4 linked regions of the Stegostoma tigrinum genome follow. The protein of the gene in region 3 interacts with the protein of the main gene of each other region in a pairwise test. Links are inferred from orthologs where the notes say so. Each region holds a gene or a part of one and is shown on either strand. Other genes may lie near its edges.

Evidence for each region.
Region 1: the proteins of progranulin (region 3) and fam131c interact in binary tests that used the Homo sapiens proteins (3 or more experiments, as listed by UniProt). The link is inferred for Stegostoma tigrinum from reciprocal best matches to the Homo sapiens genes GRN and FAM131C.
Region 2: the proteins of progranulin (region 3) and c26h22orf39 interact in binary tests that used the Homo sapiens proteins (3 or more experiments, as listed by UniProt). The link is inferred for Stegostoma tigrinum from reciprocal best matches to the Homo sapiens genes GRN and C22orf39.
Region 4: the proteins of progranulin (region 3) and otx1 interact in binary tests that used the Homo sapiens proteins (3 or more experiments, as listed by UniProt). The two-hybrid records come from large-scale screens. The link is inferred for Stegostoma tigrinum from reciprocal best matches to the Homo sapiens genes GRN and OTX1.

The regions. Positions count from the first base shown.
Region 1 is NC_081381.1:31,605,042-31,612,986, reverse strand, and holds the start of fam131c (protein FAM131C), read right to left. Parts: upstream 3,187-7,945; 5' UTR 2,828-3,186; coding exon 2,806-2,827; intron 1-2,805.
Region 2 is NC_081379.1:43,402,955-43,410,560, forward strand, and holds c26h22orf39 (UPF0545 protein C22orf39 homolog), read left to right. Parts: upstream 1-4,618; 5' UTR 4,619-4,663; coding exon 4,664-4,744; intron 4,745-5,061; coding exon 5,062-5,229; intron 5,230-6,701; coding exon 6,702-6,827; 3' UTR 6,828-7,102; downstream 7,103-7,606. UniProt on the Homo sapiens protein: Negatively regulates long-term potentiation and modulates adult synaptic plasticity. Stabilizes the interaction of RTN4 isoform A/Nogo-A with its receptors, inhibiting clustering of postsynaptic AMPA receptors at synaptic sites.
Region 3 is NC_081384.1:30,758,071-30,765,685, forward strand, and holds the start of progranulin, read right to left. Parts: upstream 3,081-7,615; 5' UTR 2,952-3,080; intron 1-2,951. UniProt on the Homo sapiens protein: Secreted protein that acts as a key regulator of lysosomal function and as a growth factor involved in inflammation, wound healing and cell proliferation. Regulates protein trafficking to lysosomes, and also the activity of lysosomal enzymes.
Region 4 is NC_081362.1:1,438,020-1,446,188, forward strand, and holds the start of otx1 (homeobox protein OTX1 B), read left to right. Parts: upstream 1-4,962; 5' UTR 4,963-5,622; intron 5,623-6,703; 5' UTR 6,704-6,838; intron 6,839-7,007; exon of another isoform or gene 7,008-8,169. Other genes in the region: ehbp1 (EH domain-binding protein 1), read left to right, coding at 1,297-1,411, 1,617-1,707. UniProt on the Homo sapiens protein: Probably plays a role in the development of the brain and the sense organs. Can bind to the BCD target sequence (BTS): 5'-TCTAATCCC-3'.

The sequences.
Region 1 (7,945 bases), on a different chromosome or scaffold from region 3:
TCTAGCTTGTTTTGTAGTTTCGGTTAAACGGCAGACTGACAATTAGTGAGGTGGATTATAGTTCACTCCGTCTCTTACCTACATCCTATTTACTCCTCCCCACTCCTTTACTCCTCCCTCTGCTCACTATCCTTACCTCCTGTACCCCCATCTCTCCCTCTCCGTACACATTTCTCTCTCCCTCTATTCTCACTCGCTCACTCTTCCTGCCCTTCCCTATCTCTACCTTCTCCCTCTTCAACTCATTTCAATCACAGATTAATTACCCTTTGTTTTACTGACTCTTGCAGCTTTAAATTTTCTCCCTTCCTGTTCCCAGACTTTGCTGAAAAGGTTCATTTAGTCGAAGATATTCATCTTGTACTCATCAATTCAATTCAAGGAGAAAACCAGTATTAATACTGCTTGAGAGGAGAGTGCTGATTGGGCTTTGCCTGGTCCAAGCATTGCCTTGAAAATGCACCCAGTACATGCTGATTGACAGTTAACAGCCAAGCTTTGTTTAAAATGTAAACAAGACCACCTCATGCAGGCATGTGTACATACTACACTTGTTTCTAGTCAATAAAGTAGGTCACAGCCATTCACTTGTTTATTTCTCAGAGCAATGCCCTAACCAGTCAAAGCCAACTATCCAGTTTCATAGAATCCCAATGTTGTGGAAGCAGGCCATTCAGCCCATCAAGTCCCACCAACCTTTGAAGAGCATCCCACCCAGTCCCACTTCTCTGCCCTATCCCCGTAACCCCATATTTCCTATGGCTAATCCACCTAGTCTGCACATTCCTATACATTATGGGTAATTTTAGCATGGCCAATCCACTTAACTTGTACAACTTTGGACTGTGGGAGGAAACCAATGCAGACACGGGGAAAACGTGCAAACTCCACACAGATAGTCACCCGAGGGTGGGATTGACCCCAAGTCCCTCGCATTGTGAGGCAGCAGTGCTAACCATTGAGTCACCATGCTGTGCCATGCTAAAATGTAATCAAAGCCTGGTTGTTAACTGCCAATCAGCATTAATGCTTATACTCTCCATGGCAAGTCTTTACCAATCAGACACCACTTACTAACCAATCAGCATTCTCGTCTCATGCAGTGTGAACGTTGGCTTTCCCACCAATACAAAAAGCTCTGCATTATCAAACAAATAAGAACTTCCAATAGCTGCCAATATGAACAATGAATAATGCAGAAGGCATGAATTCAGATATCATGGGGGAAATCTGAACATTTCGGAACATAGGAACAGGATTGGGCCATTCAGCCCATCAAACGTGGTCTAATGTTCTATGGGATCATGGCTGATCTGTAGCCGAACTCTATATCTTGCCTTTGACCCATATCCCTTAATGTCTTTGCTTAACAAATACTTATCTATCTCACATTTAAAACTAACAATGGATTCAGCATCCACTGCCATTAATGGAAAACAGTTCCAAACATCTACCAGCTTTTGTGTGTCAAAGTGCTTCCTACCATCTCTCCTGAACAGGTCCAGCCCTAATTCTTAGATTATACCACCTAGATCTAGAATCCCCAACCAGTGGAAATAATTTACCTTCATCTATACTGTCTTTTCCTGATAATATCTTGAGCACTTTGATCAGATCACCCCTTCTCCTTCTAAAAATTTGAGAAAATAGGCCTAATTTGTATAACTTCATCCATAACTTAACCCCCTGAAGCCCTGGCATCATTCTGTAAACTTACTTTGTATTCACCCAAGGCCAATATACTGTTTCAAAGTGTGGTGCCGGAATCTGCTCACAATATTTCATGTGGGGTCTACCAAGGTTTTTGTATAACTGCAGCATAACTTCTGCACCTTTGTATTCCAGTCCTCTAGATAAAATGGCCAGCATTACATTAGCTTTCTTCATTATTTTCTCCACTTGTTCATGACATTTTAAAGATCTATGCACCTGAAATGTTCAAGTCACTTTAGACATTCACTTCACTTTGTAGTTTGAGTTTAGTTTATAAAATCTGGGCTTAAATACATTGTATCTGTAAAAGCAAATACAAATTTTTCAGAGATAGTAGGAACTGTTGATGCTGGGGTCTGAGATAACAAGGTGTGGTTGAACACAGCAGGCCAGGCAGCATCAGAGGAACAGGAGAGCTGATGTTATGGGTCTGGACCTTCCTTCAAAAAAAAATTTGTCAGGCCGTTATAAAATTAAACTTGTTCACTCATGTCCCATAAGGGAGCAGACCTGTTGTCTGCGTGACTGCAGTCTCACCTTGGCTGTTCAAAATCCTACAGACTAGCAAGCTGCTAAATCACATCAAATTGCTTGCCTTACAGAAATCAGAGATGGGTCATAAATGCCAGGCATGCCAGCTGCTGATGGTGATTGCTGATACACTCCCTTGGCATCACATTTGATTCAGTTATCAAGGACGGTGATAGGATTCACAGCTCTTTGACCACAATGGCAGGAGACTGCAATACCACATATTTCAAAAGCCCAGCACAGAAAACGTGACCGTCCTTTTCTAGAATATTCTGATAAACCTGCCCTGTGCGTAACATTAGGCATCCTTGCCTTATTGCTCTGTGCTCAGTGCATTTCTCAAACAAAGCCCTGATACTGGCAGTGAGGTCCTGGTCCATTGATACGTGTAACCATAGTAACACCAAACCAGATTGATCTAATCCACCATATAGCACAGCGTCGCCTTGCAATTTCAGGACAGCTATTTAACACCACAGCTAGAGGGATGAATGCATGCAGACAACAAGAGGTGTAGTCTGATTCGAGTGTAAGTGGTTATTTTTCACAATGCAGACTCACCTCTGGAAATGCAGCAACCCATAATAAGCAGTGAAGGCAGGAGCACGGGCTATCCTCTGCTATCTTTAAAAAAATGCAACATATCGGGGTGTTTCTTTTTTCGGATTGTACGGTCTTGCCCAGAGTACCTGAACACAATGCTTGCTGAGGCAGCTGGTTTTGACGTCGATGGCATCAATCTCAGAGGGCCATCTCTGCACTCCTGAGCCGAACCGAAACCAGAGAAACACACAGCCACAAACATACAGGGACAGGAACACCAAGCTGTCACTCTTGCTGCAGCCAGGAATTAACCCCTTCACCACCAGGCCCTTGGCTGGATCTAGTTCTTGTTTGTATTGACTATCATCCTCATTGATTCATAAACCAACCTGTTGCGACACATTTTCCAGCAGTCAGATTGGTTGGGTCAGCAGGATGATAATGGCATAACCCTAACAAAACAACCATCAATTCAATAATTGCCTTTGAAAAGTGCCCCCTTGCTCCTCTAAAAAAGATGTGAGGTGAAGCTACTGCACTAGAAGCTGAAGGAAAATCACATCCTGGGGATGGAATGTCTTAGAAAATGTCTGTCCGCCTTCTCTTACCAGTCAACAGCATTACCATCACGAATCGGTGATCATTAATATCTTGGGGTCACCACTGATCAATCGAGTAAATACTGTGGCTGCAGAAGCAGGTCAGGAACTGGGATTCTGCAGCAAATGCTTGACATCTCTCTGCCGTTGACAAACAGCGATTGGCTAATAAACGCTGGTCTTGCTGTTGATGCTGCAACTCGTGTGAACAAATAAAACAAAATTGCATTTCTCTAGCACTTTTCACAAGCTCAGGATGTCCCCTCATGCTTTTGTAGCCAATGAAATACTTTGGAAAGGTAGTCTGCAGTTGTAATGTAGGAAATGTGGCAGTCAATTGTCACACAACAAGCACCCCAAAACAGCAACATGTTCATGACTAAAATGACCCGGTTTTGTTAAAAGGGTTTTCTCTCTGAATAGAGCAGCACAGGATGGCTTTTGGAATTCAACTGGTGGATTGGAGCTGCTGCACACCTTGGTCAAGTAAATGAGCCAAGACCCTAAGCTTCAGGAACAATAGAAATTCCACTTACCTTGTGCCCGCCATAACCTCAAACCAGTTGTAACTACAACCAATCAAATACTTGAGTTCAGTTGACTTTGACTGCGCCGAAACATGTCATTTTGTGTTCAACAAGATCCTGCAAATAGAGATTGGATAATTCATCGTACGATCTGCTGATTTTATTTTTAGCAGTGTTGGTTGAGGGATCGGTTTGGGCCAAAACACCAGGTGAACTCTGCTGGCATTCACGCAGCAATGGCATGGGGTCTTTGACTAAACCAGCCGAAGAATTAACTGGGCATAATTTCTCACCTGGAGTCACTGGGTTCTATATTGGCGCCTGCCCAGACCTGTGGCTGAGGTGACATCCCTGCGTTACTAACCTGAGCCACATGTAAATTGCTGCATAGTAAATAAGATTAGGGAAGTAATTGCTTGGTTCAACTTCTGATGTGGTAGAAGTGGCTCCCAGTTTGTCTGTCATTGGCAGCACTAATGGGGAAAGTGGGCTGTACTGTTGGGATGTTCTACAGCCAAACTCTAGAACTCAAACTAGCAAACCACTTAACTTCAGAAGTAGTGCACAAGTGGGAGCGCAAGACCAGGAATAACACCTTAAATAAGAGTGATTGCGAGTGCACAAAAGCAGTGCTAGCTAAAGTCAAAGAGCGAATTAAATTAAAGGATAAGTCAATAAAGATGCAGCGGCAGATATTTAAAGGGATAGTACAGGATAGGTGCACTCCAGTGAGCGAGAACAATCCCAACGGGAGGAGAAAGTATCTGCAGTTAACTTGAACAGGTAAAGAAAATATTAAATTGACAGGAAAAGCATTTAGTTGCACAAAGTTGGCTGGCATTTCTGAAGATTAGACATGATGCTTTAAAAAAAGCAAAGAATGACAAAAAGATTAACAAAGGTGGGAAAATTACAGCACAAGAGTAAGCTAGCTAGAAATATTAAAAACAGATAGTAATAGTTTTTATAAGTGTTCACAAAAGGAAAGAGTTAACAAAGTGAGCATTGGCGGCATAGAAAGTGAGTCTGGGAATTAATAATGGAAAATAAGGAGATGGCAGGTGAATTGAGTAAGTATTTTTCATCGGTCTTCACTATGAAGAATGTAAGTAACATCCTAGAAATAGCAGTAAGCCAGAAACTGCAAGGAAAGGAGCAACTCAAGGGAGTTACAATCAAATTTAACAATATGGAAGTGATACTGAGCAAACTATTGGAGCTGCGAACTGACAAAAAATCCCCAGGTCCTAGTGGACTTCATCCTGTGGGGATAAAAGAAGTTGCTCGTGAGATATTTGATGTTGGTTTTTATTTTGCAAGTTCCTTGAGATTTGCAGAAGGTCCCACTAGATTGAAAAATACTGAACATAGCTTCTTTATTCAAAAAGTTGAGACAGAATTATGCTGACTGCAGGCCAGTTAGTCTGTCATAGAGGAAATGTTAGAATTTATGATTAAAGACTTTGTAGTAGGGCGCTTTAAAAAGTCAATGTAGTCAGGTAGAATCAACAAAATTTTATGTAAGAGAAGAGATGGTAGGAACTGCCGACGCTGGAGAATCTGAGATAACAAGGTGTGGAGCTGGATGAACACAGCAGGCCAAGCAGCATCAGAGGAACAGGAAAGCTAATGTTTCGGGTCTGAAGAAGGGTCCAGGCCTGAAACGTCAGCCTTCTGTTCCTCTGATGCTGCTTGGCCCGCCGTGCTCATCCAGCTTTACGCCTTGTTATCTTTTATGAAAGAGAAGTCAGGCATGGGCTTGTGACTGGCGAGACAGCTGCTGTGCTAACGTAGTTCTGAGATGTACGTGGGTGCACACTGAAGGAATTACCTGGAAAACTGCATTTCCTCGGGGCAAATCCCCTTATGCCTGGGATCCCCTGAAAATCTCACTTTAATTGCAGATTCCAATGGCTCTGACAAAATTAAGTAAAATAATGACTCAGGAAAAGTTAGCCTATCAAATACCTAGTCTAACTTCAGCGTAACTATACTACTCACCCCATACTTAAACACATCTGACCAAGTATACCTCCTCCAGATCTCATACACCCTCCAGACCTTGAATTGATACCCCGTTTGGGACCTGATATCCCACCCCAGGCCCCACCCTTCAGGGAGCTGGACCAGAGCCCTCCCCTCCAGTAAATCCCTAGGATCCAACAACCCTCTCACCCTTGCCCTGGGGATCCAATGCACTCGCCACAACCCAATCCCCACCCTAAACCCCAAACACTCCCTCTGCCAGCTGCAGCCCTGACTCTCATCAGCCTAGACCTAAATCCCAGGTCTAGATCCCAGAAATCCCTCTCCCTCCTTTGGGGCCAGCTTGACCCAGCCTGACTCCGCTACACCAGACCCTGCCAACTTTCCCAGTCCCCGATCCAATGTCCTCCCCTTCTCCCCTGGAAATGCATACCCTGTCCAAGCCCCAGACCCCATTCCACCACTCCAATTCCCTGCTGTTTGACCCAAGCAGACCATCCTGTTTCTGTCCACTCACCAATCCCACCAACTATCTCCGCTCACTGTCAGAGCCACCCTGACTTCCCCACCCCCAGATCGGGGCGGCACGGTGGCTCAGTGGTTAGCACTGTGGGCTCACAGCGTCGGGACCGTGATTCAATTCCAGCCTCGGGCAACTGTCTGTGTGGTGTTTGCGCATTCTCCCTGTGTCTGCGTGGGTTTCCTCCGGGTGCTCCGGTTTCTTCCCACAGTCCAAAGATGGGCAGGCTAGGTGGATTGGCTGTGCGGGGTTGCCCGTAGTGTTCAGGGGTGTGTGGGTTGTGGGAGGATGGGTCTGGGTGGGATGCTCGGGGGTGGGGGGAGCAGTGTGGACTTGTTGGGCCAGGGGGCCTGCTTCCACACTGTAGGGAAATCTAATCTAATCATCTCAACAGCCACTCACCCCACCCTCAGCTAGCCTCGATTTCTCCTCCCCCCCCACCAATACCTGACATTCTCTGGACACAGTATCACTTACCTGGCCCTGTACTCCCTTCCCACGGCATCCATCCATCTGAGACCTTATCCTACGGTACCCTACCTCCAGACAATCTACTCCTTACCCGCCTGCCACCCTCCCCTCCCAACACCCTCATATCCCATTCAGTGAACACAATGAGCCTTTGAGAGCAGCTGTCAAAGTGACTGTCAGGATCTTTAAAGTTTCTGAATATGGGCAGCTGACTGCTGTGAAATGAAGATGTGGTTTGTTTTCCTCTGAGAGGTCTGCGTTAAGAAAGAACTATCGGAATGGAAGTACAGCTTCATGTTTCTGAATGAGACCTGAGGGGAATGTACTCTCAGAAATGCAGAGCTTCCTTGCTTCATAAAAAAGGACAGGTTGGAGGGTAATCTGTGTGAGATTGCCACTCACCAGGAAATCTGGCTCATCAAGCTTGTCCAACCTATTGGAGCACTTAGGGGATGTGTTGTGGATAAAGAAGAATCACTGATATCATAGAGTCATAGAAACATACAGCACAGAAACAGGCCCTTCTATCCAACCAGTCCACACCAAACATAATCCCAAACTAAACTAGTCCCACTGCCTGCTCCTGGCCCATATCCCTCCAAACCTTTCCTATTCATGTACTTATCCAAATACCTTATAAACATCGTAACTTCAATCTTCAGTTTACGTTTTATAAGTGTCACATCAAAGGTTTTTGTGATAAATAAAAGCTCATGATGCAGGTAGCATATTGATCTAGATAGAAGGTTGACTGGCTAACAGGAAAGACCATTGCATGGCTGGTCAACGTTTAGCACAGAGCCTCATCTCTTCTAAACTGAGTTTGTCCTGCGAGAAAAACAAATACAACAAATACCACAAAATGATAGTAAGAACTGCTGATGCTAGAGTCAGAGATAACACAGTGTGGAGCTGGAGGAACACAGCAGGCCAGGCAGCATCAGAGGAACAGGAAAGCTGTCGTTTCGGGTCGGGGTCCTTCTTCGGAAATTTCAGCTTTCATCAGCCTTTTTTTCTCCCCGATGCTGTCTGATGTGCTGTGCTCCTCCAACTCC
Region 2 (7,606 bases), on a different chromosome or scaffold from region 3:
CCAGTAAATGTGGCATATTTGGACTTTCAAAAGGCTTTTGACAAAGTCCCATGAAATTCACTGTATTTGTTTAATTATTTAGGCGAGAGAATTGAGTGTAATTTCTCAAAATTTGCAGATGATACAAAGCTGTGTGGAAGGGTGAGCTGTGAGGAGGATGCAGCAATGTTGCAGTGTGATCTGGGTAGGCTGAGTGAGTGGGCAAATGCATGGCAGATGTAGTTTAATGTTGGTAAGTGTGAGATTATCCACTTTGGTTGCATGAATAGGAAAGCAGCTTATTATTTGGCTGTAAATTGAGAGAGAGAAAATTTCAACAAGGATAAATTTATTCTTTCAAAGGGTCGTTAGCCTTGGAATTCTTATATCTGTGAGTGTTGGAGTCTGGATCATTGTTATTTGCAAGACTGAGTGAGAAAGATTTTTGATCTAATACGAAGTTTTGGATCATGGACGGAAGGCAGGAAATTGGAGTTTATGCTAAAGTTAGCTTAATGAAGCTCTTATTAAATACTGGAGCAAGCTTGAGGTGGCTGAATGGCCTCAGCTTTTGATATTTCAACGCAGCCAGACAGTACATTTCACTTTTTGAAGATATGCACCCCAATGTTCATAGGTCTCTCACCCAACTCAGCATCAGATCATCAGTTTATTACTATTTTCAATCAACCCAAATCAACTTTATTAAATCTCTGACTTTATATCTAGTTTTATATTCCTCCTTGTGATGTCTCCAGTCAGGTTGCTGCGCCTTCAAAGCATTAGCTTGTCCCAACATAACCAATAGTAACCAAACATAGTATTCCACCTGTACATTAATTTTTATATTTTGGCTGCTACTCCCAGACCCAAGATCATTACTCCTATTTGTTCTTACTCTCCTTTTGTTCTTTACCTCTCCTGTCATCATGCCTCCCTCTTCTTCATCTTCAATTCCCTGCAATCTCAAACATCAATTCTTCAGTAACTACTCTCCTACATTCCTGCTTCAAACTTGGTATCAAATACTCTTAAATAAGCTTACTCTTGTTGTTTATGCACCAAACTCTGAGTGATTATTATGACTTTGTGCCATTCTTCTGCCTCTTCCCTGTAACCCTGCACTTTTAAATAAGCCTCTTTAATGCTTCAAACACTTCCAGGCATTTTCTGTCATGTCTGTGTTTGTCTTGAGCTATTATGGATGTGTTCTCTCAGTCAAATTCATGTCCTTCTTTGTACTGAGACCAGTGAGAATTAGTCATGTCTCTTGGTGGCTAGTTGGTGTCCATGTATCCTTATTGCCAGTTTTCTTCTGGTTTGGCTTATTTAATGTTTCTCTCAGTCCTTATTTTATATACTATGTTGGATTTGTTGGTTTTGGGTATAGGATCCTTTACATCTGTCAGTAGCTGTCATAGGGTGGCTGTTGGTTTGTGGGCTACTCTGACACCTAGGAGTCTGAGTAGTCTTATGGTCATCTCTGATATGTCCCTGATGTGTGGTAGGGTGACTAGTGTGTCTGGCCGTGTTGTGTCTTCTTCTTGTGGTCTGTTGCAGATGTAACAGCAGTTTGTGCTTTTGGGTATCCATTCCTTTTAAAAACTCTGTATAAGTGTTCTTGTTCAGCTTTGCATAGTTCCAGGTTGCTGCAGTGTGTTGTGGCCCATTTGAATAATGTCCTGATGCAGCTCCATTTATGGGTGTTGGGTGGCTGCTGGTGTTATTGAGTTTAAGGTTCTTGTGAAGATTTGTAGCTTGGGTTGTGGATGAGTTTGTTGGCTTACTCGCTGAGCTGGATGGTTATCATACAGACCTTTTGTCACCATGCTAGGTACCCATCATCAGTGCAGACTCTGATGAAGTGAAATTGTTCTACTCTGCTTAGTATTTGTGTAATCTGGTCTGTTAAGTTGGGTTGTGTCATTTCCAGTTCTGCTCTGCATGGGTTTGTACATGAGGTCTAATTCAACATGTTTGTTGATTGCACTACAGGTTGAAAACTAGGCCTGTACAAATTCCACACTTGTCTGTGGTTGGCTTGAGCTGGTATGGTCACATTGTCCCAGTTAAATTAATGGCCTCCATTGTCTGAGTGCACTTTGGTGGGGAAAGTTCATCGTGTTGTTTTGCTGCAACTGGTGTTCGTGTATCCTGATGGCTGGTTTCCTTCTGGTCTGGCTGATGTAATGTTTGTTGCAGTCATTGCGAGGTATTTTGTAAACTACCTTGGTCCTGCATGTCATGGGTACAGTGTCTTTAGTCCTTGAGTGTTTGTCGTAGTGTGGCAATGAGTTTGTGTGCTCCCATGATTCCTAGTGGTCGTAGGAGTCTTGTCGTCAGTTCTGATATGTTCTTGAAGTAAGATAGCATGGCCAGTGTCTTGGGGAAGACTCTGTCCTCTTGGCATTGTCTATCCAGTAGGCACCTGCACATGAAGTTGTTGGGATATCTGTTGTTCGCAAAAACCTTGTATAGTTGCTAATTCTGGCATGAGTTGTGGTCCTTTTGAATAGTGTCCTAATACAGCTTTGTTTGTGGACATTGAGGTGATTGCTGTGGAAATTGTGAATTGGTCAATGTGAGTTGCCTTCCTCTCTTTTTTATGTGGTTTGGAACTCCCCATTGGTCATTTGTTCTACCCCTCTTCTCTCGTAAATTTGATCCCAGTGACAACATTGTTGATGAGATGGTGTGTCTCTTCTAATTTGGTGCATTTAATGATGACAAACATGTATCGGATCCACAGTTTTGGCTGTATGAGGAGGAGGGTAGTGTGTTCCAGTCTTTGCATGACTGCCTCTGCGGTAAGTCCTGAGGTGGGTGACCCCATCGGTCTGCCATTGATTTGTTTGTATATTTGGCAGTTAAAGATGAAGTATGTGGGGAGGCATAGGTTCAGTGGTCTGAGTTTGTTGTCCTTGCTGATGGAGCTGTTTGGAGTTGGTGTAATTAAGTATCTGGTCCGTATGGTCCTCTATGTACACCGGTCTGGAGTTCCCCATTGTTCTTGCGTTCCACCATTATATCTAGGAAGGGTAGTTAGTTATTGTTCTCTTCTTTTGTGAAATTTAATCCAGTGAGGATGTTGTTTGTATGTTGGTGGGCTGCTTCTTGTGCATTTGATAATCCCAAACGTGTCATCTACATAATTGGACCTAGAGTTTGGGTTGCATAGTGGGAAAGCGCTGTCATTTCTAATCTTTGCATTACTGTTTCTGCTATCAGTCCTGATATCAGAGATCCCTTTGTTGTTCTGCTGATTTGTTTGAATATACAATCGTTGAAGTTGCAGTGGTTATGAGGCACAGATCCAGCGATTTTAGGGTACTGTCGTGGTTGATGCGGTTGGTGTCACAGGGCACCTGCCTTCCTGAATTCGACTTGCAGTGTGGCAATTGTCTCTTTGGCTAGATCAATTGTTTATAAAGCTTCTCAAAAAAAACTTTGAAAAACTGGTTACGTCCTGGCTAGATAACTTCCAGTCAAGTTTCTACCACATTACCAAATTGTTACATCAACCTGGCTCTGAGTCAAAGTGTACAGCTGGATGAACATAGCAGGCCAAGCAACATCTGAGGAGCACGAAAGCTGATGTTTCAGGCCTGGACCCTTCATTAGAAAAGGGGGAGGGGGACAGGGTTCTGAAATAAATAGGGAGAGAGGGGGAGGAGGATCGAAGATGGATAGAGGAGGAGAGGTGGAGAGGAGACAGACAAGTTAAAGAGGCGGGGATGGAGCCAGTCGAGGTGAGTGTAGGTGGGGAGGTATGGTGGAGTTAGGTCAGTCCGGGGAGGACGGACAGGACAAGGAGGCGGGATGAGGTTAGTAGGAAGGAAATGGAGGTGCAGCTTGAGGTGGGGAAAGATAAGAGGAAGAACAGGTTAGGGAGGCGGGGACGAGCTGCGCTGGTTTTGGGATGCAGCAGGGGGAGGGGAGATTATTGTGGCACTAATCAGTTCCTCCCGCATCCCTAACCTGTTCTTCCTCTCACCTATCTGCTCCTCCCACCTCAAGCCACACCTCCATTTCCTTCCTACTCACCTCATCCCGCCCCCTTGACCTGTCCGTCCTCCCCGCACTGACCTATCCCCTCCCTACCTATATTCCTCTCCACCTAGCTTCTCCACTATCCATCGTCGGTCCGCATCCCCCTTTCTCCCTATGTATTTCAGAATCCTCTCCCCCTCCCGCTTTTCTGATGAAGGGTCTAGGCCCGAAACGTCAGTTTTTATGCTCCTGAGATGCTGCTTGGCCTGCTGTGTTCATCCAGCTCCACACTTTATTATCCCGGATTCTCCAGCATCTGCAGTTCCCATTATCACTGAGCTTTTCTATCAACTTGTGTTTTTGCTCCCGATTCACAGCATCCGTAGTTCTTTAGTTTTCGAAACATCTCATCTTCCAAAACTATCCGCAATCTTAGAAATAGTTGACCTCAATATGTTTCTTTAATGTCTAATTGCACTTTCTAACGTTTCGCCGCATCGACTTGAATGGACTAGTTGACGGCTCTCGCTGGAACGGTGACGTCTCCAAAGAGAAAGCCCCGGCCCGCTAGTACACTGATTGGCTGGCTCGTCTTGTGAATATTAATATACGACGGTACGCCTGAGTCTGAATGCTCCATCTGGGGGTGGGGTTGTGTTTCACGCCTGATCGTTTATTGGTCAAACATCCATGCATGGGGTCGTTCTGGGAACGATTATTGGTCGGTCGCTGTCAGCTTGAAAGCGGAAGGATGGCGGATGGGGAGCTGTGGAGAGTGAGTAAGGGCCTTGACTGGGATAAGGTTCCTGGGAGCACTTTTCGCCATAGTTTTACATACTGTTATTATGGGAAAGTAGGTGGACATCCAGTGCAAAGATTAAAATGACTTGGTTTCTCTAATGGATCTGTGTAAACGCTCATTGCTCTCTGAAGTCAGGACTCCGCTCATTCAGACACAGTACTGCTCAGCTATATTTTACTGTGGGGAGTTTAATTCGGGTTCTTGGCGCAGCAATGACCTTTACTTAATAGTTTATGGGGTGGTCTGTAAAAGTGCCCCGGCCATCTAAACTGCCTACCTTGTCCTTGCAGCCTCCTCGAGTGTGCGACGATTATCGGAGTGAGTGGAAACACTGCCGGAGTCTGAGAAATCTCTTTCATCACTATTACACATTCGGAAAGTTCCCCTCGTGTAAACAGTGGAAGAAAGATTACAACAGTTGCATGGAATGGGAACGTTTTAAGTCTATCGAAGCTAAGGTAAAATTTGTGAAAATATTATACAAGCAATATAACTGGATTTGGCCAAATACCATCCTGGTAACGTTCAGAACCACGCACACTTACGAACATACCTATTTTGCTTATTCTGTCACATTGCTGTATTCTTCTGAAGGCAGAATTCTGCTCGGTGTACAAGCAGCTACCAGCCATCCAACTGAAGTAATAATTTTAAATGCATAAACTCTCATCAATGAGTGTTTCTCTGGAGGGCCTCACACCATTTTTTCAACCTTGACCTGTGACGCTTAAATGCCAATCGCTAGTATGAGGATTAAAACTGGTATTGGGCACCTTGGTCCCAACTTTAGAAAGACAGTTCCAGCTACCCAAACTTTAGTTACACAATAACTATTTAATGCTGATTAATAAAATATTCAACAAATGAAGAGTCATACTGGACTCGCATGTTATTCTTTGTCTCTTCACAGATGCTGCCAGACATGTGCTGAGTTTCCACTACTCTTTTAAAACTTCAGATTTCCAAAAGTATTTTGCTTTTATTTGAATTAACAAGTAATCTATATAACATCCTCACTATAATAAAACGTACCAAGGTGTTTCACAGCGTTGTACGACAGAGCCATATGGTAATATTACGTGTTGACCAAAAGCCTGGTTAAAGAGGCATGTTCAAGGAGTGCCTTAAATGAGGACAACATGTTAAAGACAATGCCATGGGGTTATTAAAATTGGAAATGTGCATTTTGAATTAGATGATCAATATGAATGTTGTGAAACAAGAGGAGACTTAGAGGGGCCACGGGAGGATTTGTAAACCATGAGAATTTTGAAATTTAAGATATTTCAGTGGGAATCGGTTATAGGTCAGTAAGCATTGGAAGGTAAATTAAATTTATGAGTTTAATGCAGGCTTAGCAGCATTTTGGATGATCAAGCTTACAGAAGGTAGTATGTGGGATGCGATCCCGAGAGTTCATTGAAAAATACTAGACCGAAAAGTGTAAATATGGGTTTCAGCAACAGGCAAGCTGTTGTGGAAGTGGAAATAGGTGATCTTGGTTAATGCTGGCAGAGGAAGGTGATGGCCTAGTACTAATATTGCTAGACTGTTCATCCACAGACCCAGACCTGGGTTCAAATCCTGCCATGGCAGTTGGTGGAATTTGAAATCAATAAAATATCTGGAATTAACAATCTAATGATGACTATGAATCCATTGTTGATTGTTGGAAAAACCCATCTGGTTCACTAATGTCATTTAGGGAAGGAAACTGCCATCCTTACCTGGTCTGGCCTACACATGACTTCAGATCCACAGCAATGTGGTTGACTGTGAATGCCTTCTGGGCAATTAGGGATGGGCAATAAATGCGTAACCAGTGACACCATCACTGTCAATGAATAAATCTTTTTTACTTAAAGCTAAAACTTGTGTCGAAAGTAGCTACTAATGTGGATCTAACTGCAAGTTTATTTTAAATTTACAGATAGCTTTATGTGAGAGTGAGAAGAAGAGGTTAGCAGAACAAAAGATACACTTTCCAATCTGGGTGATGAGGAAAAATCCACCAGCTGAATGGCATCTACCCCTAAGTGACAAAAAAGAGGAATAGCTGGAGTTGATCACATCTGGAGTCACAAATCGCCAGTCATGCAATACAGCTTTTGTGAGCATGTCAGCTCCATTCTGCAGTGCAACCTATATAACTGGTTTTAGGGGAACCCAGATGGAAGCAGGTTTGAGTCTTGAGAACACTAAATAACCTGGATTCACTTTGATAGGAACTAGATGAGGGTGGCAATCAGAATGTTATACAACTCTCTCAATGATTATGCTGCAGTAAAGATGTTTTCAATAAATAAACTGCCAGCATGTAAATTTCATTAACTTCAGGCTCTTGTGAATGCTTATTTTATCTCTGTGAGATGCTTAGAGAGGGTGTTCTAGAGTGACTTATGTAAGAAATTAAGATCTAATTTGAGTTGGGCACCAGTCCAGATTTCACTTTTTTAAAAAAAAAAGTGGTGGAGATAACCTGAACTAACATGAGGTAGTGTTATTGCATCAACAGGGAGCAATTTAAACAGAGGAAGCTTTTTAAGCTCATGCACAAATTGTAAACTATCGTAGGTATGAGGGAAGAAATTATCATTACCATACTTTCCTTATTGTGTTCATTCTGATACGAACATTATTTTTTTCATTCACGGAATTATGGGAGGCACTGTTAGGCCAGCAGTTATTGTCCAGACAGTCAATCCCTCACTGTGGAAGTGGAATCAAAGTAGGCCCTAAGTGGGTATTAGTGAATCCGGTCTTTTTAATGACAATTGACAGTAGTTACATAGTTCAAACTCACAAAGCTAGACCATTAGACTGAGGCCTGGATTA
Region 3 (7,615 bases):
CTGTAATGAACATAAAACAACCATCCATCTGCCACAAAGTAAAGTCTATCCCAATTTTACAAAAATGAAAACCTCTGTCTAAAGCTCACAGCTACTGCCAGCAGCTAAGTTGAGATAAACCCAACAGGTGCCAGCCAGGATGCAGTTATAGTAAAGATGTGTCAGCTGTAAGTTCAGCAACAGGACTCTCAATTCAGAATCAGAAGACTGAGGAAGTGATACATTTATCTTTTGGATATGATTGTAAAACAGAGCCTCATCTATCTCCTTATATATCTCACATCTGGTTATCACTCACTCGCTGATCTATACCGCTCCAAGTCCTAGTGGTCCTCAAATCTAAAATTCTTTTTGTTTTTATATTATTCCACCTTTCTGAGATCTCCGCACTCCCCCAATTTCATTCTCTCATACGTCGTAACTGCCATCACTCCTGTAAGGTGGCTGCTTCTTCAGCTGCCCAAACCCAAACCACAGGTTGTTGACTTCCTTATCCTCTGTCTCCCCACTTCTTTCCATTTTAAAATTACCTCTTTCATGAGCTATGATCACCTTTCCTAATATCTCCATGCTGCTAGATGTTGAATTTAGTTCAATAACGCACAAAAAGCCATGGGCCCTTTCACTTTAGGGGTACTAAATGCCTGCCAGTTACTGTTTAGTTCACTGTTGTTCACAAATTAGCTGTTCACTTACAGTTACTGCATTTTGCAGTTACTTAACTGGTCATAAAGCTATATGAAGCATTCAAAAGTTTGAACTGCGCCATATAAATGCCAGTCTTTTAATCAACATTTTTAACACAGTTCCACCATAAACGCCATCTACCTGACAAACAGCAATACTTCTCTTAAGGCTGCATCAGATCTTATTCCAGCTGTATCTAATTTGTTTTCTAGAAATCGTACAGTACTCAAGTATTTCAATGTTAAAGTATGATATCGCTCATAAAAGTTATGAGACTTTTACTAAGTTTAGATCACATAGGATCCATGGGGTGCTAGTCAATTGGATTCAAAATTGGCTTGAAGGTAGGAAACAGAGGGTGGTGATAGAAAGTTGCTTTTTGGGCTGGAGGCATGTGGTCAGCGGTGTGCCACAAAGATCGGTGCTGGGTCCACTGTTTTTTGTTATTTATATAAATGATTTTGATGTGAATATCAGAGGGAAGTTTGCAGATGACACCACAGTAGACAGTGTAGAAGATGGAGATTAACTTAAATAAACATGAGGTATTACATTTTGATAAAGGCAAAAAAGGGTAGGACTTATACAGATAATGGTACGGCCCTGGGGAGTGATGCTGAACAGAAACCTAGGGGTGCAGGTGCCCGATTCCTTGAAACTGAATTCACAGATAGACAGGGTGGTGAAGGCAGCGTTTGGCAAGCTTGCCTCCATTGTTCAGTAGATTGAATACAGGAGTTGGAACATCATGTTACTGTTGTACAGGACATTGCTGAAGCTACATTTAAAATATTATATTCAATTCTGGTCACCATTCTATAGGAAGGTGTTAAATCTTTTCTGAACCTGCTCAAGTTTATCACCATGTTTCTGGGACTGGAGGGTTTCCGCTGCAGGGAGAGGCTAAACAAGCTGCGGCTCTTTACCCCTTGAGTGTCAGAGGCCAGGGGTGACCTTGGTAATGTTTATAAAGTCATGAAGAGCATAGATACGGTGAATAGCCAAGGTCTTTTTCCCAGGGTGGGTGAGTCCCAAACTAGATGACATAAGTTTGAGACGAGAGGGGAAAGATTTAAATAGGACCCAAGGAGGAACTTCTTCATGCAGAGGGTGGTACATGTATGGAACAAGCAACCAGAAGAAGTGGTGGAAGCGGGCACAATTACAACATTTAATAAGCATCTGTATGAGTACACGAATAGGAAAGGTTTAGAGGAATATGGACAAGTGATGGCAATGGGACTAAATCAGATTGGGATGTCTGATTGGCACACTGGACTGAAGCGTCTGTTTCCATGCTGTATGAACCTATGACTCTATGGCAAGTCTCAAAAGGGAACACAATACTACTGACTGAATTAGCTTGCGCTACGAAAGTTTTAACCAGGAAATAAACCAGCACACAGTAGAACTGTAGGATTTGAAAATCAAAGTGCATTGCAACAAAGCTGGTTTCAAGTGAAACCAATTTCAAAAAAGTACAGGCCATTCAGGGAAGTAACCAGCTTTGATTATTTCACAATTTCTTTGCAGTTAAATGCTTACAAATAAAGTGAAGTTGGTATTAAAGAATATTGCTCGAACAATGGGCACGCATAACAATCCAGAAACTTGTATACAAGAGGCAACACAAAGCCAAATATGTGCGTAAGGTATGAACAAATGACAGCTTTTAATGCATTAAGCGCTTCTGCAAATTATAGCATGGCACACCCTTATCACAATCTGCTGTACTTGGGTCACTTCTCTTGCATTTTACTTCCTTTCTGTTCCCAAATTCATGCCAACTGAGTACGTGTCTGTGATTGCGAGGGAGCTCTAAGTTTTGAAACTGAAACAACTTCTTTTAAAAGAAATTCACAAGCTCTTACCAAATACACTTAGCATGGGGTGGAATGTTTACATGGCTTTTCTGCCTGTGTGATCAGTAAGGAATTTCTAACTTTACTGACAAGCATTTTAATGCTACTTACATATGATTGTACATGTTCTTATTTTTAAAACAAAAAAAAGCAACTGATGTTAGTCCCAAGGAGTAATTTACAGAATTCACTGCCCAGCAAAGACTAACAGGTTAACCCCTCAGAAATCCACAATATTAACAACACACAGTTTCAACACAATTCAGCAAGGGAATCGCAACTAACTGGTGAACAGGAGAGTTACTATTCTGGTTTGCTTGAAGTAAGTACACAATCTCATCTACACTCAAATGATTCAGCTGCTGGTTAGTTCAATTTGAAAAGATGTAAAACTGAAAATACCTGACACTCCAGCTTTCACTCTGGGAAACTGATCTTAGACACAACGGTGAAGAACTGGACTGCTGGTCTGACAGCTCCCTCTTGTTCTAGCACGACATATCATGTGACTGTGAGGAAATGAGTACTGTACTGCAAGACAGAACAATAGGGGCAGTTTGAACTTTGTCAAGTTTCTGCTGAGTTTCAGTTGCTCCACCGGCCAAAAATTCAACCTGTTTGTCAATCTGAATTTTAATCAAACAAAATAAACATGCAGCAACAGTTTGAGAGGGATATGTATTTGAATTGAATGTTTTCACATGCAAAAAAAAGCAATTGCAGATAGCTCAACCAACATCTTGAAATAAAACTGAATATAACTTCCAACAAGAAGGATGTGTGAGAGGCCAGTTTAAGTCTTTTTTGAAACTTTTAGATTAATTAGAAGTTATCAGTCCCCATGATTTCAAATAAAAACAAAAAAGAACTGCAGATGCTGTAAAACAGGAACAAAAACAGAAGTTGGCTGGTAAAGCTCAAAGGGTCTGGCAGCATCTATGAAGAAAAAAACTCAAGAGTTAACATTTCGAGTCTGGTAACCCTTCCTCAAAGCTCTGAAGAAGGGACACCTGACTCAAAATATTAACTCTGATTTTTTTTTCACAGATGCTGCCAGACTTGAGAGCTTTTCCAGCAACTTCTGTTTTTTGCTGCCCAGGATTTCGAACATGTTCATGAACCAATCTACACAATTAGGTGATGCATCAAGGCAATCCACAGAGACAAAACATGTTGCCGCTTCAGCAAATAATTCCAAATAAACTCGAGTTTGTTACGATTACAGTACTGCTGCATATTTTACCTCTGAATTGCACGTGCATTTGCACACTCCCAGTTCCACTTTTGAATCTTCCAGTATAAAAAATTTAATAACTAGGGCATGGTTCCCTACAAAGCACAATCTACCTTCGAATGGATAAGATCTATTAACTGTACAAATATTTACAGAAACCATCATTCATAAGAACATAAGAACGAGGAGCAGGAGTAGGCCATCTGGCCCCTCGAGACTGCCCTGCCATTTAATAAGATCATGGCTGGTTTTTGAGACTCAGCTTCACTTACCTGCCCACTCACTGTAACTTTTCATTCCTTTACTGTTCAGAAATTTATCTAGCCTTGCCTTAAAAACATACAGCGAGGTAACTTGAACCACTTCACTTGGCAGGGAATTCCACAGATTCACAACCCTTTAGGTGAAGAAGTTCCTCCTGACCTCAGTCCTACATCTGCTTCCCTTTATTTTGAGGCGATGCCCCCCAGTCCTAATTTTACCTGCTAGTGAAAACAACCGCCCTGCCTCCACCTTGTCTATTCCCTTCGTAATCTTATACATTTCCCCTCATTCTTCTGAATTCCGATGAGTATATGCTCAGTCTACTCAGTCTCTCCTCATAATCCAACCCTCTCAACTCTGGAATCAATCAAGTGAATCTCCTCTGCACCCTCTCCAATGCTAGTATATCTCTTCTCAAGTAAGGAGACCAAAACTGCACACAGTACTCCAGGTGTGGCCTCACCAGGACCCTATACATCTGCACCATAGCGCCTCTGTTTTTAAACTCCATCCCTCGAGCAATGGCAGATAAAATGCCATTTGCCTCTTTAATCACCTAATGCACCTGCAATCCCACCTTCAGCATTACATGCACAAGGACGCCCAAGTCCCTCTGCACAGCAGTGTGCTACTTTTTTTCCCCTCCCATTTAAAACAGTCCATTTTGCTGTTATTCCTACCAAAATGGATGACCTCACATTTATCAACATTGTACTCCATCTGCCAGACCTTTTCCGATTCACTTAGACTATCTATATCCCACTGCAGACTTTCAACGTCTTCTGCACACTTTGCTCTGTCACTGACGTTAATGTCATCTACAAATTTTGACACACCACACTTAGTCCCCAACTCCAAATCATCTATGTAAATTGTAAACAAGTGAGGTCCCAACACTGATCCCCTGAGGCACACTACTAGCCACTGACTGCCAACCAGAAAAACACACGTTTACCCCTACTCTTTGCTTTCTATTGGTCAACCAATCCTCTATCCATGCCAATATATTACCTGTAATACCGCGGAACTTCATCTTATGTAGCAGCCTTTGGTGTGGCACCTTATTAAATGCCTTCTGGAAATCTAGATACACCACATCCACAGGTTCCCCATTGTCCACCATGCAAGTAATATCCTCAAAGAATTCCACCAAATTAGTTAAACATGGCCTACCTCTTGTGAAGCCATGCTGGGTGTTTTCAATGGGACAATTTGCATCCATTTTGCTTAATTAGCACACTACATGCTCAAGTAATCTCAGAAAACGAGAATGCCACAACAGTAAAAAAGAAAATTAATGCCAAGACAGAAACTAAAAAATTAGACAGGCAGTACACCTCAACAGAGAGCCAGATATGAAACATTTTATATAAGAGATAAACTGATTTATATGATCCCACATTTCAGTTCATTTGTGACCCGATGTTACTGCTGGCGAAAATTAATCTGTTACAAAGTTAATAGAGTGGATCACAACATACCAATTCATGTGTTTAGATATTGATCATTCACAGAACAAAATCAGTTAATAAGTGATATCAGCCAAGCAAAGTTAACCCCATTAGTTTGTGTGTAGAAGTAGCATGGGAAGTGTAAAGAATTCTTGGAGTCCTGGATAGTAAATCTTGAAATAAATCTTACTCCCCTTAAATGAGGCTTTAAGAATCCATAATACAACTTCATTTATTATTGGTATGTTGTTCTTAATGCTTCACACAGGTTCAAACCAATGACAGATATGTAATTATTTGAAATTCCAACAAAATGGATGTTCCACTGTTTAAAAAGCAGAAAATGCTAAAATTTAACAGCAAGTTTACCAGCATCTGAGACGACAAGACAATATTTCAGGGCAAACCCTGAGTCAGAGAACTCTTATTTGAGGCATTTGTCATCTCTTCCTCACTTTGTAAGATATTGTGTATTTACAGCATTTTCTGGCATAGAAATTGCATTGACAACTAAACCAAACATAAAAGTGAAGAAACATCTCCTCACTTTTGAATTCCATTCCATTCAAGAAAAAGGCCCTTAGACTTTTTGGTCACTTTTGCCCCTGTTCAACAACTTTCAGAGATTTGCATCCATAGACACCTAACCCAGGAACATCGCACTGAAATAAAAACTGCAGTTATTAGAAATACACAGTTGGTCCAGAAGCATCTGCAGTGAGAAACAGACTTCTGTTCCCCAGAACTCGCCCTCAATGACAATTCACTAACAGTTTTAAGGAGAAAGTTTTCAAATGCAGATTGCGATAGTGACAGTGAGCAGAGGTCTCATCAGGACACGTTAGGTCTGCATCCATTAGAGTTCAGAATAGTGAGGGATAATTTCAAGATGTTGAGGGGTCTTGATAGCAAGGGGGCTGATACTTCCCTTCTTGGGAAGACTAGAATTAAAGCCTAAAGATCTGCAATTACACTGCAACAGTTACTGGGAAAGATGAAGGCTTACCTCAGGAAAACAAAATTTCATACACAAGATAAAAGTGTGGAGCTGGATGAACACAGCAGGCCAAGCAGCATCTCAGGAGCACAAAAGCTGACATTTCGGGCCTGAACCTTCATCAGAGAGGGGGATGGGGAGAGGGAACTGGAATAAATAGAGGGGGAAGCGGACCGAAGATGGAGAGAAAACAAGATAGGTAGAGAGGAGAGTATAGGTGAGGAGGTCGAGAGGTGATAGGTCAGTCCAGGGAAGACGGACAGGTCAAGGAGGCGGGATGAGGTGGTAGGTAGGAAATGGAGGTGCGGCTTGAGGTGGGAGGAAGGGATGGGTGAGAGGAAGAACCCCCTCACCTCCTCCCTCACCACCATCCCAGGCCCCAAGATGACTTTCCATATCAAGCAGATGTTCACCTGCACATCTGCCAATGTGATATACTGTATCCATTGCACCCGGTGTGGCTTCCTCTCCATTGGGGAAATCAAGCAGACGCTTGGGGACTGCTTTGCAGAACACCTCCGCTCGGTTCGCAACAAACAACTGCACCTCCCAGTCGCAAACCATTTCAACTCCCCCTCCCATTCCTCACATGACATGTCCATCATCGGCCTCCTGCATTGCCACCCGAAGGTTGCAGGAACAGCAACTCATATTCCGCTTGGGAACCCTGCAGCCCAATGCTATCAATGTGGACTTCACAAGCTTCAAAATCTCCCCTTCCCCCACTGCATCCCAAAACCAGCCCAGTTCTTCCCCTCCCCCCACTGCATCACAAAACCAGCCCAGCTTGTCCCCTCCCACCACTGCATCACAAAACCAGCCCAGCCTGTCTCTGCCTCCCTAACCTGTTCTTCCACTCACCCATCCCTTCCTCCTCAAGCCGCTCCTCCATTTCCTACCTACCACCTCATCCCGCCTCCTTGACCTGTCCGTCTTCCCTGGACTGACCTATCCCCTCCCTACTTCCTCACCTATACCGTCCTCTCTACCTATCTTATTTTCTCTCCATCTTCGGTCCGCTCCCCCTCTCTCCCTATTTATTCCAGTTCCCTCTCCCCATCCTCCTCTCTGATGAAGGGTCTAGGCCCAAAACGTCAGCTTTTGTGCTCCTGAGATGCTG
Region 4 (8,169 bases), on a different chromosome or scaffold from region 3:
GTCTCCCCATCCCGTTCTCCCTCCCCACCCCTCCCTGTCTCTCCACCCCTCTCCCTCCAACCCTGGCCCTCTCCCAACCCCTCACTCCCACCCTACCCCTCACTCCCACCCTACCCCTCACTCCTGCCCACCCCACTCCCACCCCTCACATCACTCCCACCCCTCACATCACTCCCACCCCTCACATCACTCCCACCCCTCACATCACTCCCACCCCTCTCAACACTCCCACCCCTCTCAACACTCCCACCCCTCACCTCACTCCCACCCCTTACCTCACTCCCACCCCTCACTCCACCCCACCCCTCATCCTCACCCACCCCTCATCATCACCACACCCCACCCCTCACCTCACTACACCCCACGCTACCCCTCAATTCACTCCCCATCGCTCCACACCTCACTCCCCCCATCTCACTCACCTCTTCATCTCATTCCTCAAACCCATCCCTCACACCTGCCCCCATCCCTTCCATTGAACTGAAAAAAAAAGCGCAAAGAGCTGAAATTCACTGTTGGCCAGCGACCGGTACCACAAATAAAGCCAAGAGGCCACTGTCTCTAACCACCCTCCCTGCCCCAGCAGCCTGGAGGGGCCAGGGGCATACATTCAACTCTGATTAACTTTGATGCCAAATAACCAACAGAATCTGCAAAGAGCTAGCTCTTGGTTTCCCGTGAGTGATTGTCAATGTCTGCATTTTTGGTTGTTGTACGTATTTTTAATTTTGTATCCAAACATCCAATATATTGCCTGTTAATGTGGTCAACTTCACAATCAGTTTGGTATCTGGGGTGGGGTTGGGTTGGTATCTGGGATTGGGATTGGGTTGGTATCTGGGATCAGGATCTGGTTGGGTTGGTATCTGGGATCAGGATCTGGTTGGGTTGGTATCTGGGATCGGATCGGGTTGGGTTGGTATCTGGAATCAGAATCGCGTTGGTATCCTGGCTCGGGTTGGAATCTGGGATCAGGATCGGGTTGGGTTGGTATCTGGGATCAGGTTGGGTTGATACCTGAGATCGGATTAGGTTGGTATCTGGGATCAGGTTGCGTTGATATCTGGGATTAGATTAGGTTGGTATCTGGTATCAGGATCTGGTTGGGTTGGTATCTGGGATCGGATTAGGTTGGAATCTGGGATCAGGATCAAGTTAGGTTGGTATCTGGGATCAGGTTGGGTTGATATCTGAGATCGGATTAGGTTGGTATCTGGAATCGGGATCTGGTTGGGCTTTAGCTGGCAGAGGAGCTAAAAAAAATGGAGAGTAACTGGTTTCTATTGTGTTTTTCAGACTGGCAGAAAACAGAAGCTCAGAAAAGACGTGAGCAGCTCTTACTAGATGAACTAGTTATTCTGGTTAACAAACGGGACGCGCTTGTCCGAGATTTAGATGCACAGGAAAAACAGTAAGTTACTAAATTAAGAAAAGTTACTTGGTGGGAATGAAAACCGAGCCTTTCGCCTGCACGTTATCCTCCAACTTTCCGGGTTGAATGTATTCAGTATTCGATCCTATCCAATCTAGCTTTAGTTTTTGAATGTTGCATTCTTCAAGAGTCAGGTCTCTTGGTGCTGCCCCAGTCCCTAATGAAGCCTGTTTGTGTGTTCCAGGGCGGAAGAAGAAGATGAACATTTGGAACGAACGCTCGAACAAAACAAAGGGAAAATTGTAAAGAAAGAAGATAAGTGTCTCATTCAGTGAGAGAGATGCACTAGAAGATCTCCCATCATTTACACACACTTTCACTCTCATTTTAATAAACTATGTGATGGATTTGAATGATATCATGTTTCAATTAGATTGTAAACTGTTGTATTTTTTTTCTGTCAGAGCATTTAATCGTCCTAAGGCCGCAGGTCCGTCATATGGCTGCATCTGTCGTTTTTATGAAAGTGTATTTTGTAAAAAAAAAAGCCGCGTGTAATTGTTTTATTTGTAACGGTGACATTTAATGTTTTATCAGTTACATTTGGGAAGAATTCCCTGCTCATTAAGGAGGATAGGAAAAACACCAAATAGTTGCGAAATGTAGCAGGACAGTTCCTGATTGTTTCTTATTAACACTGAGACGGCTTTCTGTGCGCCGCACTGATCTGCCTCAAATGGATGTTGGATCAGATTTGATACTGTGACCGGGGAGGTTGGCGGTGGTTACCGGCTTCTGAACGTTACTGTTTTACAGAAACTGCGGAACTCCAGCCTCTGGGTGCACCTTTGAATAAATTGATCGCCATCAGTTGTCAAAAAGTGAAACATCTTCAAGAAACAATCTCTAAACCGGAATGTTTGAGCTTGCTAGTTGCTGCATTTTCAATATCTAGGTTTATTTCCATTGAATATTGGAACGTTTCATTGGAGCTGTAAAGTCCGGTTTTTTTTAAAATATAAATAGTTGGCTTTTACAGAGCGGCTATGTTGTAAATGATATTATCTGAAGTTAGTTTTAGTTTAAACTCAGAAAAGGGCTGATGACTTTGCACCCGGTTGGTGCGGTCAGTTCGTTCTCTGGTGTTTTCTATGTATTTATTACCCGGAACAGCGCGAGCTGCTTGTTTAAGCTCCAGGTATTTTGCTAAAACGTTTTTGTTTGGCTCGAAAATGCTTGTTATTTGTCTTCCGAAAGCAAAAGCAGTTCTCTAGAAGATCGGAATCATTTTCAACACGTTTCTCTGCACCAACCTACCGTCAATAAAACTGCTGCTTGGGGGAAGAAATATTTCTGTTTATTTATTCCAGGACCGCCTCTGAATCTTGAATAAAAAGTGAACTTTGAAGCGTTTTATGTGGACAGAATCTGTTGTTGATGCTTTAGCCTAATCATGTTCATACAGACTTGCGACTTCTAAATTTGAGTTATTTACATAAATGACTTCGATTGGGGAGCGATTTACTTTAAATTGGAATTGTTTAATGCATAAATAAAAGTTTTCCTTCGCTACAACCAAACCGGTTTAAGTTTTTTAACGATTGCACGTCAGCAATTCCATCCTGGTGGGTAAAAGCTCCATGCCCAGGCTGAAGCAGGCGCACAGCAAAGTCAGAAAAGATACCTGTAAAGCGTCTCCTACAGCAGTTTTCCCGGGAACTCCTCCCGACCGTCTGAAATCAAAATCAAAGTTGAAAATCCAAATCTTTGTTCAAAATCCCAACCAAAACCCCGAGGTTAGTTTTCTAGCTGCACCTGGCTGGGTTTCTGCCCCTTTTTCCTGTTTTTTTTTCATTCCCTGCCCTGCAGATTCCTCACGTGTGGGGCCCATCTGCGGTGACTGTACTCTCATGTTTTAATTTCTGCAATAGCCGCCGATTGCAGTCATTTCAATCGACTTTTTTAAAAAATATTGCTCTAATATCGACATCTTTCAAACAATTAAACAGATGATGTGTTTTTGTAATGAACTAATAAATATTCGAAGCTGAACTGAACAGCTCGATCAACGGCCGATATACCCCTTTCTGTAAACATTTCTAAATGAACCTGATGTCTCTCATTCTCAAACCCTGCAGCTGTCAACCAGGAAACGCACCAGGCACGAAGCTAAAGTTTAAAGTGCGCGTCTTGATGTTGTTTCCGCGGTGTCACGGAAATATTGAAAGGACATTTTCTGTTTGAGGCTCGTTCCTAAAATAATTTGATAGGATACATTTCTTACACGACGCCAATCACATCAACTAGAGCTCGTAGCCGTTAGGAGCTGAACTCCCTTTGCACATTCCAAATTATTACACTGTTCGTTTCGGTTTCATCGGCGCAAAACATTTCGGATTTTCTGTGGTTGTGTAACTTTGAAATGATTTTTCTGTGAAGTCATTGCAGCAAAGAGGTGAAACCGGCCGCTAGCCATTAACTTTGTAACATCACACATCAATGTCTTCAACTGGAGAAGCAAATCTTTTAAAGTCGCTTCTAAGTGAATCCCATTACTGTTTTTTTAACTCATTTTGAGACAATGTCGGACATTACCATCCTTCCCGCGGCTAGTGTGGACAGTATCTTTTTAATTTGTTAGTGGGGACTATTAATTACTTTGGAGGGAGATTAGCACAAGGAAGAGACAATTTTACAGACACAATCTGTTTAGATGGCAGAGCTTTTAGTCAATGTATTGAATGAGGAATTTCTGTTGTGACACCATTCGAGCCGCCGCCTTCAGAACCTGTAACACTCAACGCATTCCGGCGACTTTCAAATTCATTTGCTGTGTCTAGTTTTCCAGGACAGTTCTGGCCCATCAGTAGCATTCCTGCCACCTCAGTCTGTCCAAAAGCAGGCTTTTGGGGACTGTCGAAAATCAAACAATCTGCACTGGCACCGTTTAGCATCGTTATCACATGACACACAGACCTGCAGAAAGTCTAACCTTCAGCTAAAAGGACGTCCACGCCTCGTGCCAAATATGTTTGAGCCGAAATAAAAATTTTATTTTGTTAAAAGTGCACAGACTGAACTGAGATGTCAGCAAAGGGGCTGCGGCCCGTAACATACGCATGATCCTGGACACAATTGGTGCTAATTATTCAAACTTCCAATTGCACCGTGAGCGCTGGAAAATTCCTAAATCATTCCTAACTTCCCGGCTATAATTTCTACACCGCCTGGAATTTAACAATTATGACTGTAAGTAGTTGTCATCCTCTCCGTTCTTACCTGTTTGCTCCTGGCCGCCCACAGTAAGCAGCAGATTTGACAAACTCTCTGAAAGGGCTAACACGAGGCTGGGAGCCGCAGTTTGAAAACTTTTCAGCGCTTCACCTGGTGAACAAGGAGTTGATGAAGGGATTTAGTCGCGATCGAGACTGGAGGAGTCTCTTGTGAATTTTACATTTGGCCCCTCGGATGTATCTAAATGCGGCTGCAGGTGATGATCACTGGGATTTCAATTCCCCCCCCCCCCCCCCACCACCTTTTCCACCGAGCCAGTTACACTATCCCAGTTTTATCCCTATCCCTACACTATCCCATCCCTGTGTAAAGCAAGTTAAACCAAGTGTGGCCGTTATAATCGGCCCGCCGTGCCGCTCCAGTGCCACGTTACACCACATTCTTAGTTTTGTCTGTACCAAATCTTCCGCAATCTCTGACTTCTACCTTTTGATGCAATAACGCACATCTGTCCCTCTCCCTGTCTCTCCCTCCCCCCTTCCCCAACCCAGGGTTTCAGGCTCGGCTTTAAGAAAATTCGCCTGCAATTTCGGATTAGACAAATACTCTTCTTACAAAGGTTAGTGCTACTTGATACTATAATACTTAACACAGGCTTGATCAGCGCATCTTAAACAGAGACTTCACACAATAAAAACAATCAGTAAATCCCTGGGATTGCTCCAGAAGTAAACTCGATTGTGTTTCATCAGACAAATTAGCAGGATGTTTCGTTTCCTTAATGCTGGTTAAAAGGCAGGATTTTTAAAATGTACATCTTTTAAGTATGATTTAAACAGAGCAGTACAACCGAAGGTTTATGTACAGAACAGTTCAATCCCAGCTGCGAATATGGTTAGCCAAATAGTCTAACAGAAAGGTAGAGAGTATACCTCAGTTATCAACAACTGAACAATAGGAAACAGTGCGAAACTGTGCAAGCCGTGTACAGAATGAATTAACAATGTTCATGTGAGGTACGATCTTATTTTTTTTCCGAAGGCATTAGCTTTTTTTTACGTTTAGCAAATACTGATGTTAATCCCGAACAATTTCTAATTATTTCGAACAGTCGGTTGCGTCTTTCTTGCTCATGGTAACGAGATCTTATTATTATCATGGAAATAGCCTGCCTCGGTGCAAAATTATGTTCCTTGAAGGTTTCACTTCTCAAACGCAGGCGAAAAAGAAACCAAAACAAAAAAAAACTTCCAGCAAAGTGCATTATTTGCTAAGTTGGGATTGAATTGACCGCTGGTTCTTTTGTCAGAAACGGTGCTCGTGTCGATGACTTTCAGTGAACTATTGGGAAAGTCTTGTAAAACCTTCCTTTGATGAGCTGCTCGGTAAAGCAAAAAATGTAATTTCGTCTTCTGGCGGTTGGTTTCTTTGAACATTAGCTCGCTTTCAGTTCCCGCATCAATTAGAATGAGTTGATTTTCTGTGAACAACAAAAGAGTGACCAAAGCCTTATTAAGGTTTTCAGAAGAACTCACCGAGCCTTTCAAAACCAGTTAAGGAAACCCTGTGCCCCTCCATGATATTCTGTTACCGTATGTTATTTGTTCACCAAAGAAAAGTGACGCTTGAAAAGTGGTTTCTTTGATAACCAGCAGCCGACAGTCCTTCTCGAATTCATTTATTTCCCGCGTCGGCGTATTTTTTCTTTAGAAATTTCGATTAAAGGCAGTCTGTCCCATTAAAGTTTACGCTGACTATCCCGAAATGTAAAACTAAATGGGGATTAGGCCGTCATCAATATTCATGAGAACGTACAATTTCAAACACAAAAAAACCTCGACATTTTTAGGAGTAATTATTTTAAAAGTACGACTTGAAAATACAACCGTATTAAAATTCCGGCCCTTGTTATTTGCTGGAAAGGCCCGAAAGAGAGAGATTTCCTGGTTAAAACATTCGTTTACCTGAAACTAAGTTTAACATATCCTCAGCTGAAACCTTAACAGGACATGGGGGGTGGGGGGGGGGGGGGGGGGAAACCAGCTGATTTCTCAATAGAGGTTCATACTTCTCCTTTATTTCATGTATTTATCACAGGAAACTCGTAACGAAAATGATGCGGACAGCCAGGTTTATTTTCTCGCAAGTCAGTGCCTTGTTCGCTAATAATGGTGCACATCCCACCGGGCTGAGAAACAGATACTGAATAGGTGCCAGTTACACTGATGTGAGGTGACAGAAAACCGACTTTATGAATGTTCTCTGAATTGTTTAGTCTCACAACAAGCTGCTAGCTGTATTGCGTGAATTTCCACAGCAATAATTACCTGCTGTAATTAAGTGGTGGCCGCTCGGGTTTCTTCATGAATAACTTTGCAGCTTGTCCAGAAATATGTAGCTGACAGATTGTGACTACTTTCAGAGGAGCTTTTTACCCAGCGATGGGCAAGTGTATTCCTCCTCTGGGAAAGTAGTGCTCCGGCGTCACCTGGAGACGAGCTGTCAATCATGAACAAGTCGCCGGGTGATTGGTGAAGGGCGGATCATTGTCGGGCAGTTCCGCCAGAGCAGCGCTCTCTTAGAGAAGGCTGCAGTGATCAACTCTCCATTGAGTCAGGTCCAAACAAACACGGAACGACCTGCAACTTTCGCTTCCCCAGCCTCTAGGCTCGCAGCAAGTTTCTCACTTTGCTGCTTGTTTCGTTTCTGGGGTGGGTCTGTTTTGGGAAGGGGGGTGGTGGGTGTTTGAATTCAGTCCCACCCGCTCCGACCTAACCTTGTTGCGCGTTGTGCTACAGAATAGACAGCAGGCTCCTGCTTGCGTTTTACTGAGTTCTAGACTCCAGGCCTGGTCTAAAATATTCTCAGGTGAGTGTGAGACTCCGCGGTATTTATTCATGGGGGGTGGGGGGCAGCAATCTCAACGAATTAGTGTGAGGCTAGGGAGTTTTTCTTTGAAGGGGCTAGTTTGAAAACGACCTCAGATTGTGAACTAACTTGTGACTGTTAAAGTACAGCTCTCTATGGCTAACTTTGAATTTTTTTTCCCCCTTGTATTTGTGTTGTTAACTAATTCAATTTTGTAACTGACCTGACTCCTCCTAAAGTACTTGGATCGTTTAATTTGTTTCATTTTCTCACTGAAAATTACAATTGCAGCGTCCAAGGGCCGATTGAAAAGCTTGAGTCCACTTTAGCGGCTAATTGGAGAGGCGTGTTTTTCGTTTTTTTTGTTCATTTATTTTGCTGATAAGGTTCCTCCTTTTAAATTGCGTCCCCTGAGGTCTAATCTAAATTGTAATTGACTTCATTTGCACACGGCTATCGCCTTTTAAATGAGAGCACGGTTTTATCTGGGTTCTGTGGAGGTGGAAACTTGGGTTAGGAAACTGTTGATTGAGAATGCGGGTTAATTTTTTTTTTCAGCTAAGTGCTCTGATGTTATCGTCGCCGTATGGAGGACAACTTTCATTGAGAAATGTCAACATTGAATATTCAGGGTCGATCTAATTGTTTTTTTTAAATTGGCGGCTGCGTTTTCTCTTTTGAAAGGAATTTGTAGT